2 linked regions of the Caenorhabditis elegans genome follow. The protein of the gene in region 1 purifies or fractionates together with the protein of each later gene. This does not show direct contact. Each region holds a gene or a part of one and is shown in the gene's direction. Other genes may lie near its edges.

Region 1 (3,825 bases):
TTCAGCTAGTTTCTAATCCAAGTTAATATTTCTGGGCCAAACTAAAAAAAGATGCTAGAGCCAAATAAACATCAAACAAAAATAACTGTGTATTTATGTTTTTTTATGGAAGTATTTCAAGACTACGAATGGAAGAAGGTTGCCAACCTCAGTCTGGAGCTGTTCCTCGTGTAGTCGCGTGTTCAAATTAAGTGAAAAGGTGAGCATTTTTTCTTAAGATAACGTTTGCTCGAAAACTTTACCTTATTTGACATTACGAATTTTCAGGAGTTGTCGAAGTTTATCCAGGAATTCAACAAGGTTCTCCCTCATGTCCTTTGCGCTAAGAATGGCGATCACTGCTTCAAAAACATTCAAAATACGATCCTAGTCACAGAAGCGATTGGAAAAATTTTCCACGGAGAAGTATTTTAAATTATTTTTTTACAACTTTCTCAAATTTTATTCTTACAGAACACAGCTCATTCGATTTGCTCTGACGTCATGAAGTGTGAAGGCAGTTTGTTTGAAAATGGTCGATGCTTTCGTGAAATATCAATGTTATCAACATCATTGATCTAAATATTTGTTTTTCAATTGTCTATCCTTGTGTTCTTTCCCTAATTTCCAAAGCAACAAGTCCAATATGTTTTACATCCACTAATTTTCTCATCTCGCTCTTTGATATGTTTTACAACTGTGCAATGTCTCTAGTAAATGGAAAAATATATTACCTTTCAAAATAGATGGCTGTTGATCTCGTGAGTTTCTCTCATGATGATTTCTACCAGAGCATACTTGTGATGGATGACGATTGGCTCATGTGATGATTCTCTTGGAAGCATTGACGAGTGAACTCTTTTTCTGATTCGGTATAAGCCGTCGGATCCAAGGTAAATATCTAAATCAGTACCGAATTTCGAAATGTTGTTTTCCATTTCGCGGTAATGTTCCTGGATAATGAATTTTTGTGTCATTCGTCTTTGTTGCAGCAATAGATTTGAATTCTAGCGTTAAAGGAGAACAACGGGATTTGCGGCGAGAATCGTAGCTGATTTTGGAGGAACGACGGAAGAAAGAGTAAATCTATGGATATGGCAACGCAATTTTCCGGAGACAAGCGAAAAAGGACAAAAAGGACTCTGTGTTGGCTCCCACTGATGTCTCGTGAACATGAGCACAATCGGAAAACCAAAGAAGTTTCGACCGATGGAAGCAAATAATTCCGAGGTGGAGTACCGAAATTTGAGACTTTGCGTTTTAGACACAAAATGACGCAAACCTACCGAATTTCGTAACCAGACGTTCTGAAAATTTTTCAAAAAAAAAAATTATGGGCGCTCAAAGTTTTGGAAAAAAATGGCCCTTTTTAGCTAAAATCTCAAATTTTTGATAACTTTTCAGTGTCGCAGCGGTTGGAACTTAATTTTTATTTGATTGTCATCCTTTGCATGTTTTGGCATTTTATTACGTGTTATTTTGTTGATCGAAATGTTTTTTGGTTGATGCGGGCACAATTATGGTACCAAAAACGCATCTCAATTAACAAAATAACACGTAGTAAAATGCCAAAATATGCAATTAAAGATGACAATCGAATAAAAATTAAGTTTTTTGGTCGATGCGGGCACAATTATGCAACGATTTATATGTTTGTATACTTATTTGAAAACAATGAAATATCAGCAAACAATCAAACACTAATATGCTTTTGACCACCACCGCAAAATAATTTCCGTTTAAATATAACTTCTTGATAATACGACTACAAATGCTGCTTCCAAATTATTTCCAAAAGGTTATCATTTTTAATTAATCAGTGACATTTTCATAAACCGCGATAAAGTATTTCAAGAAAGACCAAACTCCCTAATGACGATTCGGAAATTGAAATCATCATGCAATTATGGTGCACTGATAACAGTTGTATAAAAATCGTCATCGGAGGCATTGATATCGCTCGATTCGAAAATGTCGCAAAACTTAATTTTTGTAATTTCTCTTATTGCTTCTGTGTTTTACTGCACAAATGCTTTAACTTGCCCAACTGGAACAAAAATCTATAACGCAAAGTGAGAATCCGTTCTTATTCGAATTGCACTGTTAATACATTTGTTTAGATGCTACGCAGCTCTTGGCATGGATATGACTCGGGATAATGCCCTTGCCTACTGCCGGAAGACATACGGACCATATGCCAGACTCACCACACCCCTCACGTATGCTGAGAATAACTTTGTCACTGAACAAGTTCAATGTAAGTTTAAAACGTTTTATCTACATACATTTGAATTATTGTAGTACATGCTAATTGGCACACTTGGCTCGAATATGTAGCTGATGGAACATATATTGTTGGAGATGACGGAAAACCACCAATCTACACAAACTTTGCAGTTGGTAAGTTCAAAAAGCTTTCAATTGAACATTTTGTTCACCAGTCATTTTGTTTCAGGAGAACCATTCAGTGTAAACGTTGGTTATTGCATCACAATTGGAATGAACGGATACTGGTATGCTCAGCCATGCCCAGATTCTCACAGTGTACTGTGCGAATTTGACCTTGTGCCACCAACCCCGAAACCAGTGCTCACCACAACTGTAAAACCAAGTGGATTTCCGAGCTGTGTTCAAAAGTATTTGAGTAAGTTATTTTTCTGGAGGATTTCCAAATTTATTAATTGGCTCTTCATTTCAGACTTTGTTCCATGCCAATCCGGATGGGAGTACTATCCACCAACATGTGCTTGTTTCAAGATTATTTCCAACACTACCTATTATAATGCTATGAACACTTGTAGAAGCATGGGAGGAACACTGGCTTCTGTTCATAATGCAGGAGAAGCTGCTTTCATTAACCGTAAGATTTTGCGCTAAAATCAATTATATATGTACTTATATTCGAATTTTCAGGTCTTGGAGTCCAAGCGAATTCATATTGGGTTTCTACCGCGACAGCTAGAGACAACATTATTATTGGGCTAACTTATAACTCGGACCGTGGATACTTCCAATGGGATGACTCTACTGTTTTTGACTATGCTCAGGGATTCGCTCCAGCTGAGCCGGCCGACTATACTAGCCAGGGACAGGTACTAATTTTTTTGAAACGGCATTTTTTTCAATGTTTGTTGTTTTCAGATTATCTTGAACAATCCGATGGGGTATGCAACCTACATGAGAATGGGCAACTGTGCCTATCAAACATGTCGATATGCAGCATGTAAACGATATGTCTATTAAAAGTGTTCTATTGATTTGTTTCTTTATTCTGATGAAGATTTTGTATTGCTGTTTTCTAATATGTTGTATACTTGAATGTGCTTCATCTTGTATAACATTTCATAAAATTTCCCTAAAATACGGTTTCAACATAAATTATCCGTTTGGATAACCGGATTTTTTCATGTTAAATGTTTCACAAAGTGTAAACTTATTGTTATAAAAACGTGTCGTTTTTTATGTGTTCGGAACCAAGAACGGAAATAAAAGTCATAGAATTATACAAAAACGTTCTCAGTTTTATCATAAATCCATTCGGTCATTTTATCCATATGATCTCTACACATTCCACCAGTGCTTGTACAAATAATTTGTGTTTCCCTGAAAAAAACTACTTTTCAATTTACTTTTAGTCAAACTTACATTTGCCGAACGCAATTGTTCAATCCTTTAATGAAATCAAATGAGAATACGGGAAGCGAACCATTGAATATTGTTATAGCCTAGAAACATGCAGATTTCCATTTGGTCCTCACGGCGTGTTGAAAATAGGGCTTCCCATAAGGTCGCTGCAACAGCGCCCGCGACGGCCTACACCCACTTGTATCCGAATTTATAGTGCGG
Region 2 (4,700 bases), on another chromosome or scaffold:
AAAAATTTCGGCGGGAATTCGAATTAAAATTGTGTATGCACCTTTAAGATTACTGTATAATGTTTTTTTTTCAAATTTTCTTATAATTTACAGATTTTTATAGCTAATTTGTGACCGAGTAGAACTTACTTACTTACTTAGTAACTATAAGAAAACAATAACAATTTTTCTAAGATCAATTTAAAGGCGCTCGCACAAAGTAATTTTGGAAAGGGTCTCACCGCGCCAAATGAATTTTTCAAATAATTTTTTTTCGCGTTCTCATTTTTCCTAGAAATTCCAGAATTTTTGTAGTAAAATTGCAAACATAAGCCCTTTTCGAAATATTTTTTTTCTTCATTAATCGAAAAAATAAGATGATTTGTAGTTTAGCCTAGCCTATAGACATTTTCGTTCCCCTCTCACTACAAGTAGGTGTCTCTGACATTCTCTTCTCCAACCTATTCGTCATGCTCAATTGAGCACGTCCGGGGCTCTTCTAACCAGCAAACAACTCCCCCCAGTTATGACCACGTTTCTCTTTTGTCTTCTGGGTTCACTATCAATAGAAGTTTCCATTTGAGAAGTATGCAAAGGGCGTGGGCGTCTGTTTGAGCAAAATGGGTGTGAATGGTAAGATGGATGATAAGGGGGAAATGATGTTTTTGACGTAAAAAATTTTATAATGTGGAGTATCGAAATCTTTTTAGAACAATTTTAAAATGACTCCCTGATTCCGATATTTAAGTGAAAAAAAAAACTGTGCTTTTTTTAAGGTCACTTTTTTTGTTATATCATTAAAAAAACTAACAAAATTTGTGATTTTTAGGCGGGAAAAGCATATATTTGGATTTTTCGTCCACGGGGTTCTGGGCATTTCTCATTGAATTTTCGCGCTCCATTGATAATCGCCTGCCGGACAGCGCGTGGAAAAGTGTCGTGTACTCCTCACGGACAGCAAACTTCAGTTTTACAACTAAAACGAGCCGCGACGCGACACGCAACGCGCCGTAAATCTACACAAAATCTCTCCGACCCAAAATGGCCTAGTTCGGCAAACAGCCAGAATTCCGTGGAATTCGTCGAGTTTTGACCTAAGAAATGGAAATTTTGTTAGTTTTTTGGCAAAATAATATTTAATTGACCTTAAAAAACGAAACTTTGGAAAAAAGCGACGAAAATGAAGATATTGAAAATCTCGTAAATCGACACATCGCGATTTTAAGCTGAAATATAATATCAGGGAAATTTTTTAGAATTTTTTCACTTAGATATTCGGAATCAGGGAGTCATTTAAAACTATTTCTCTCACAAAATTTCTAGGATACACGGAAAATCGAAATCGTGACTCATTGCGAACTTGAAACATTACAGTTCTCGAGCACATTTGAACTTGACCGAAACCACCGAAAAAAGTAAATATAGTGTGAGAGAGAGAGAGTAAGAGGTATTAGAGAAGCTAAAAAAGATAGTGGTTCTGTTCTATGCTCTCTTCTTATACACCCTCTTCCCTTCCCTTCCCAACTGTTCAAATATTATCGTTAACATGCCTTGCATGCTGCTGCTCATCGTCATTGTCCACGTCAACCTAAAATTTTTAATGTGAATTTGAATTCAGTATGCCTTGGGTCCGAAAAAGTTTGCATTATAAATTTCCTTGTTTTACTCGAATTTCCAATACTACTACTACTTTTCACAATTTAATTCGTTTTTTTTCAGGCAGCAAACTTATATTATCAAAATTGAGGGATATTGAAGCATAAAACGGAGGATTTTCGGTAGGTTACGGTACCCTGGGTCTCGGCACGACAAATGTTTGAAAAAAGGTGTGCGCCTTTAAAGAGTACTGTAATTTCAAACTTGTTCATTTGCGGAATTTTTATTGATTTTTTAGTTTTTCGATGAAAATCTATTAAATTATCAAATATCTAAAGTAAATTTCAAAAAGCTGAAAAATTAATTTTAAGGCGCACACCTTCAATGAGTACAAGGATTTGTCGTGTCGAGACCTGGATCTGTATTTCTGACGCAAAAATCTGAAAAGTGTCATATTAAACAATATTAAAGAAAAAAAAAGAAAAAAACTAACTAAAAAAATCTGTTTTAACATTGAAAACTTGATCATTTTGAGGTCAAACTAGAAAATATTGATTTTTCTTCGAATTTCTATTGATTTTTTTGTTGCTATTTATTAGTTTTCCTGAAAATTATAGTTTTTCCATCATATTCCTGCCAAAAACATGTTCCACCGATTTTGTCCACGTGTAGTACGTAGTTGTCGGTTTCTAGGTCACCACCCGTGTACTACACGTGGACGATGTGTCCTTATTTGGAGTTTTTGTCGAAAAATTTAGTTTTTACTGGTTTTTACTGAGCTGAATCGAAATATTTTGAGAAATTTCCCAATTAAATTAATCAAAAATTAATTTTTTTGCAGATACGGGTCGATTTTGCCGCTGAGAAATGATTATATTCAAGAAAAAGGCGATATTAAAAGTTCTCCTCTTGGTTCCAGTTTTTTGGATTTGCTCGTTGATTTTTTTCGCAGCAACCAGCAATGATAGTAGCCAGGTATCAAAAATCAAAAATAAAAAAAATAAAAATGTGATTAAAATCCCATTTTCAGATCGGATCAAATAACGATCTCGCGAATAAAATTGCGGAGGCGAATTTCCACCCGAAAGCCGCGAAACAAGACGTAATTCAAGGATTTGGGCCGCCGATTGAGCCGGAACCTGTCGTAGAGAATAATAAAGTGGAAGAAGAAGAGCAACCCGGCGGGAACTTGGCCAAACCAAAATTTATGGTCGATCCGAACGATCCGATTTATAAAAAAGGAGACGCAGCGCAAGCCGGAGAGCTTGGAAAGGCAGTTGTCGTCGATAAAACTGTGAGAATTTGATTATTCTTGAGGAATAACGGTTCTTTGAACTTGTGGACTCAAAATGTGCTCAAATTCTCAAAATTGCGAAAAAAATGAGCCAAAAATGACTTAAATTGGCCAAAAATTACCAAAAATGATTTTAAAAATGAAAATATTCCGTATAGATTTTTAATCATTTTAGGGCAATTTCGGTCATTTTTTACTGATTTTTGGCTGATTTTCCATCATTTTAAGTAATTTTAGTTAATTTTAGGCCAAATTTGGTTATTTTTGGTCATTTTTGGTCAATTTCTGTCATTTTTGGCCGATTTTTAATCATTTTTGGTCAAATTTGGTCATTTTTCAGAAATTTTTAGTCACTTCAGCGCTCGGAAATTGCCGAAAATTGGCCAATAATGACTAAAAATGACCGAAATTTGCCGAAAATGATTAAAATGTATATAATATACCGTATTTCTTCTATTAATATGGCCTCCCTATTAGACTTGCACTCCCTATTAGTATTGCTCCTTGAAAACCCTCCGAAAATTAGTATTGCAGTTAGTGTTGCACTCCCTAATAGTCTTGCATCTACTTTTTTTTTTTGGTACAAACCCACCCTACTAATTTTGAGATTTTAACAACATTTTTTGCCTACTTTGCAACAATTTTGGTAAAATTTCTATGAAATTGAAGTTATTGTACCTTTTTGTTGCAATTACAATCAAATTTTCTGAATTTTCACATAAGATTCGAGTTTTTTCAGGAAAAAAACTAGTAAGCTCAAAGTCAGAAAATGTTCTGAAAATTAGTATTGCACTCCCTAATAGTCTTGCACTCCCTATTAGTATTGCAAGCGGAAGACCATCGAAAAATATTATTGCAGCCATATTAATAGAAGAAATACGGTACATATTTTCGGTCATTTTTAATCATTTTTGGCCGATTTTCGATTATGCTTAGTCATTAAAAAAAAGACTAAAAAATTACCAAATTTGGTCCAAAATCACCAAAAATGACTGAAATTGGACAAAAATGAATAAAAATTTCTAAAATATTTAATATTTTAAATATTTATGTCATTTTTGGTCATTTTTCGCCTATTTTGGGCCAAATTTGGTCATTTTTCAGACATTTTTAATCACTTCAGTGCTCGGAAATTTTCGAAAATTGGCCAAAAATGATTAAAAATGATGTCTAAAATATTTTAAATATCAAGTTATTTTAAATATGAAATATTTTCGACATTCCTGGCCAATTTCGGTAATTTGTAGTCATTTTCAACCGACTGCTGATTATTTTTGGTCCGTTTAGGTATTTTTAGCAAAATTTAGAAATTTTAGTAATTTTTGGCCGAATTTTCATTTTTTTTTTTGGTCACATTAGGTAATTTTTAGGTGATTTTGGGTAATTTTTAGTCATTTTTATCCAATTCGCGATCATTTTTTAGCCACTCTAGGTCATTTTAGGCCGATTTCGGCCCCCAAAATCTAAGATTCTAGTGGAAATTAGTTCTTTTTTTTTCGAAATTTTGATGTTTTGCCTTTAAAATCAACGAAAAAAAAAAACTTTATTTTCTTTCTAATTTTCAGAAACTATCGACCGAAGAAAAGGCAAAATACGACAAGGGAATGCTCAACAACGCTTTTAATCAATACGCATCTGATATGATATCAGTACATCGAACTTTGCCAACTAATATTGATGCTGAGTGGGTTTTTTTTTATTCCAAAATTCATAAAAATCGAAAAATTAATTTTTTTAAATTTCCCTAAAAAACTGAAGTTTTTTTGTGATTTTCCGGAAAAAAAGAAGAAAAATCGAATTTTTTCAAAAAATTTTCTTTTTAAAAAAATCG

Evidence for each region. Proteins that work in one complex are often made in the same cells at the same time.
Region 2: the proteins of clec-265 (region 1) and gly-5 fractionate together in Caenorhabditis elegans (co-fractionation; one large-scale study listed by BioGRID). This does not show direct contact.

Annotation. Positions count from the first base shown.
Region 1 is NC_003284.9:3,029,846-3,033,670, forward strand, and holds clec-265 (C-type lectin domain-containing protein), read left to right. Parts: upstream 1-1,937; 5' UTR 1,938-1,950; coding exon 1,951-2,051; intron 2,052-2,099; coding exon 2,100-2,236; intron 2,237-2,280; coding exon 2,281-2,379; intron 2,380-2,434; coding exon 2,435-2,623; intron 2,624-2,677; coding exon 2,678-2,839; intron 2,840-2,892; coding exon 2,893-3,071; intron 3,072-3,120; coding exon 3,121-3,222; 3' UTR 3,223-3,272; downstream 3,273-3,825. Other genes in the region: M02F4.2 (Nucleotid_trans domain-containing protein), read right to left, coding at 3,480-3,582, 3,625-3,704.
Region 2 is NC_003281.10:13,185,694-13,190,393, forward strand, and holds the start of gly-5 (Polypeptide N-acetylgalactosaminyltransferase 5), read left to right. Parts: upstream 1-1,698; 5' UTR 1,699-1,757; intron 1,758-2,416; 5' UTR 2,417-2,442; coding exon 2,443-2,550; intron 2,551-2,605; coding exon 2,606-2,869; intron 2,870-4,434; coding exon 4,435-4,553; intron 4,554-4,700. UniProt on the Caenorhabditis elegans protein: Catalyzes the initial reaction in O-linked oligosaccharide biosynthesis, the transfer of an N-acetyl-D-galactosamine residue to a serine or threonine residue on the protein receptor.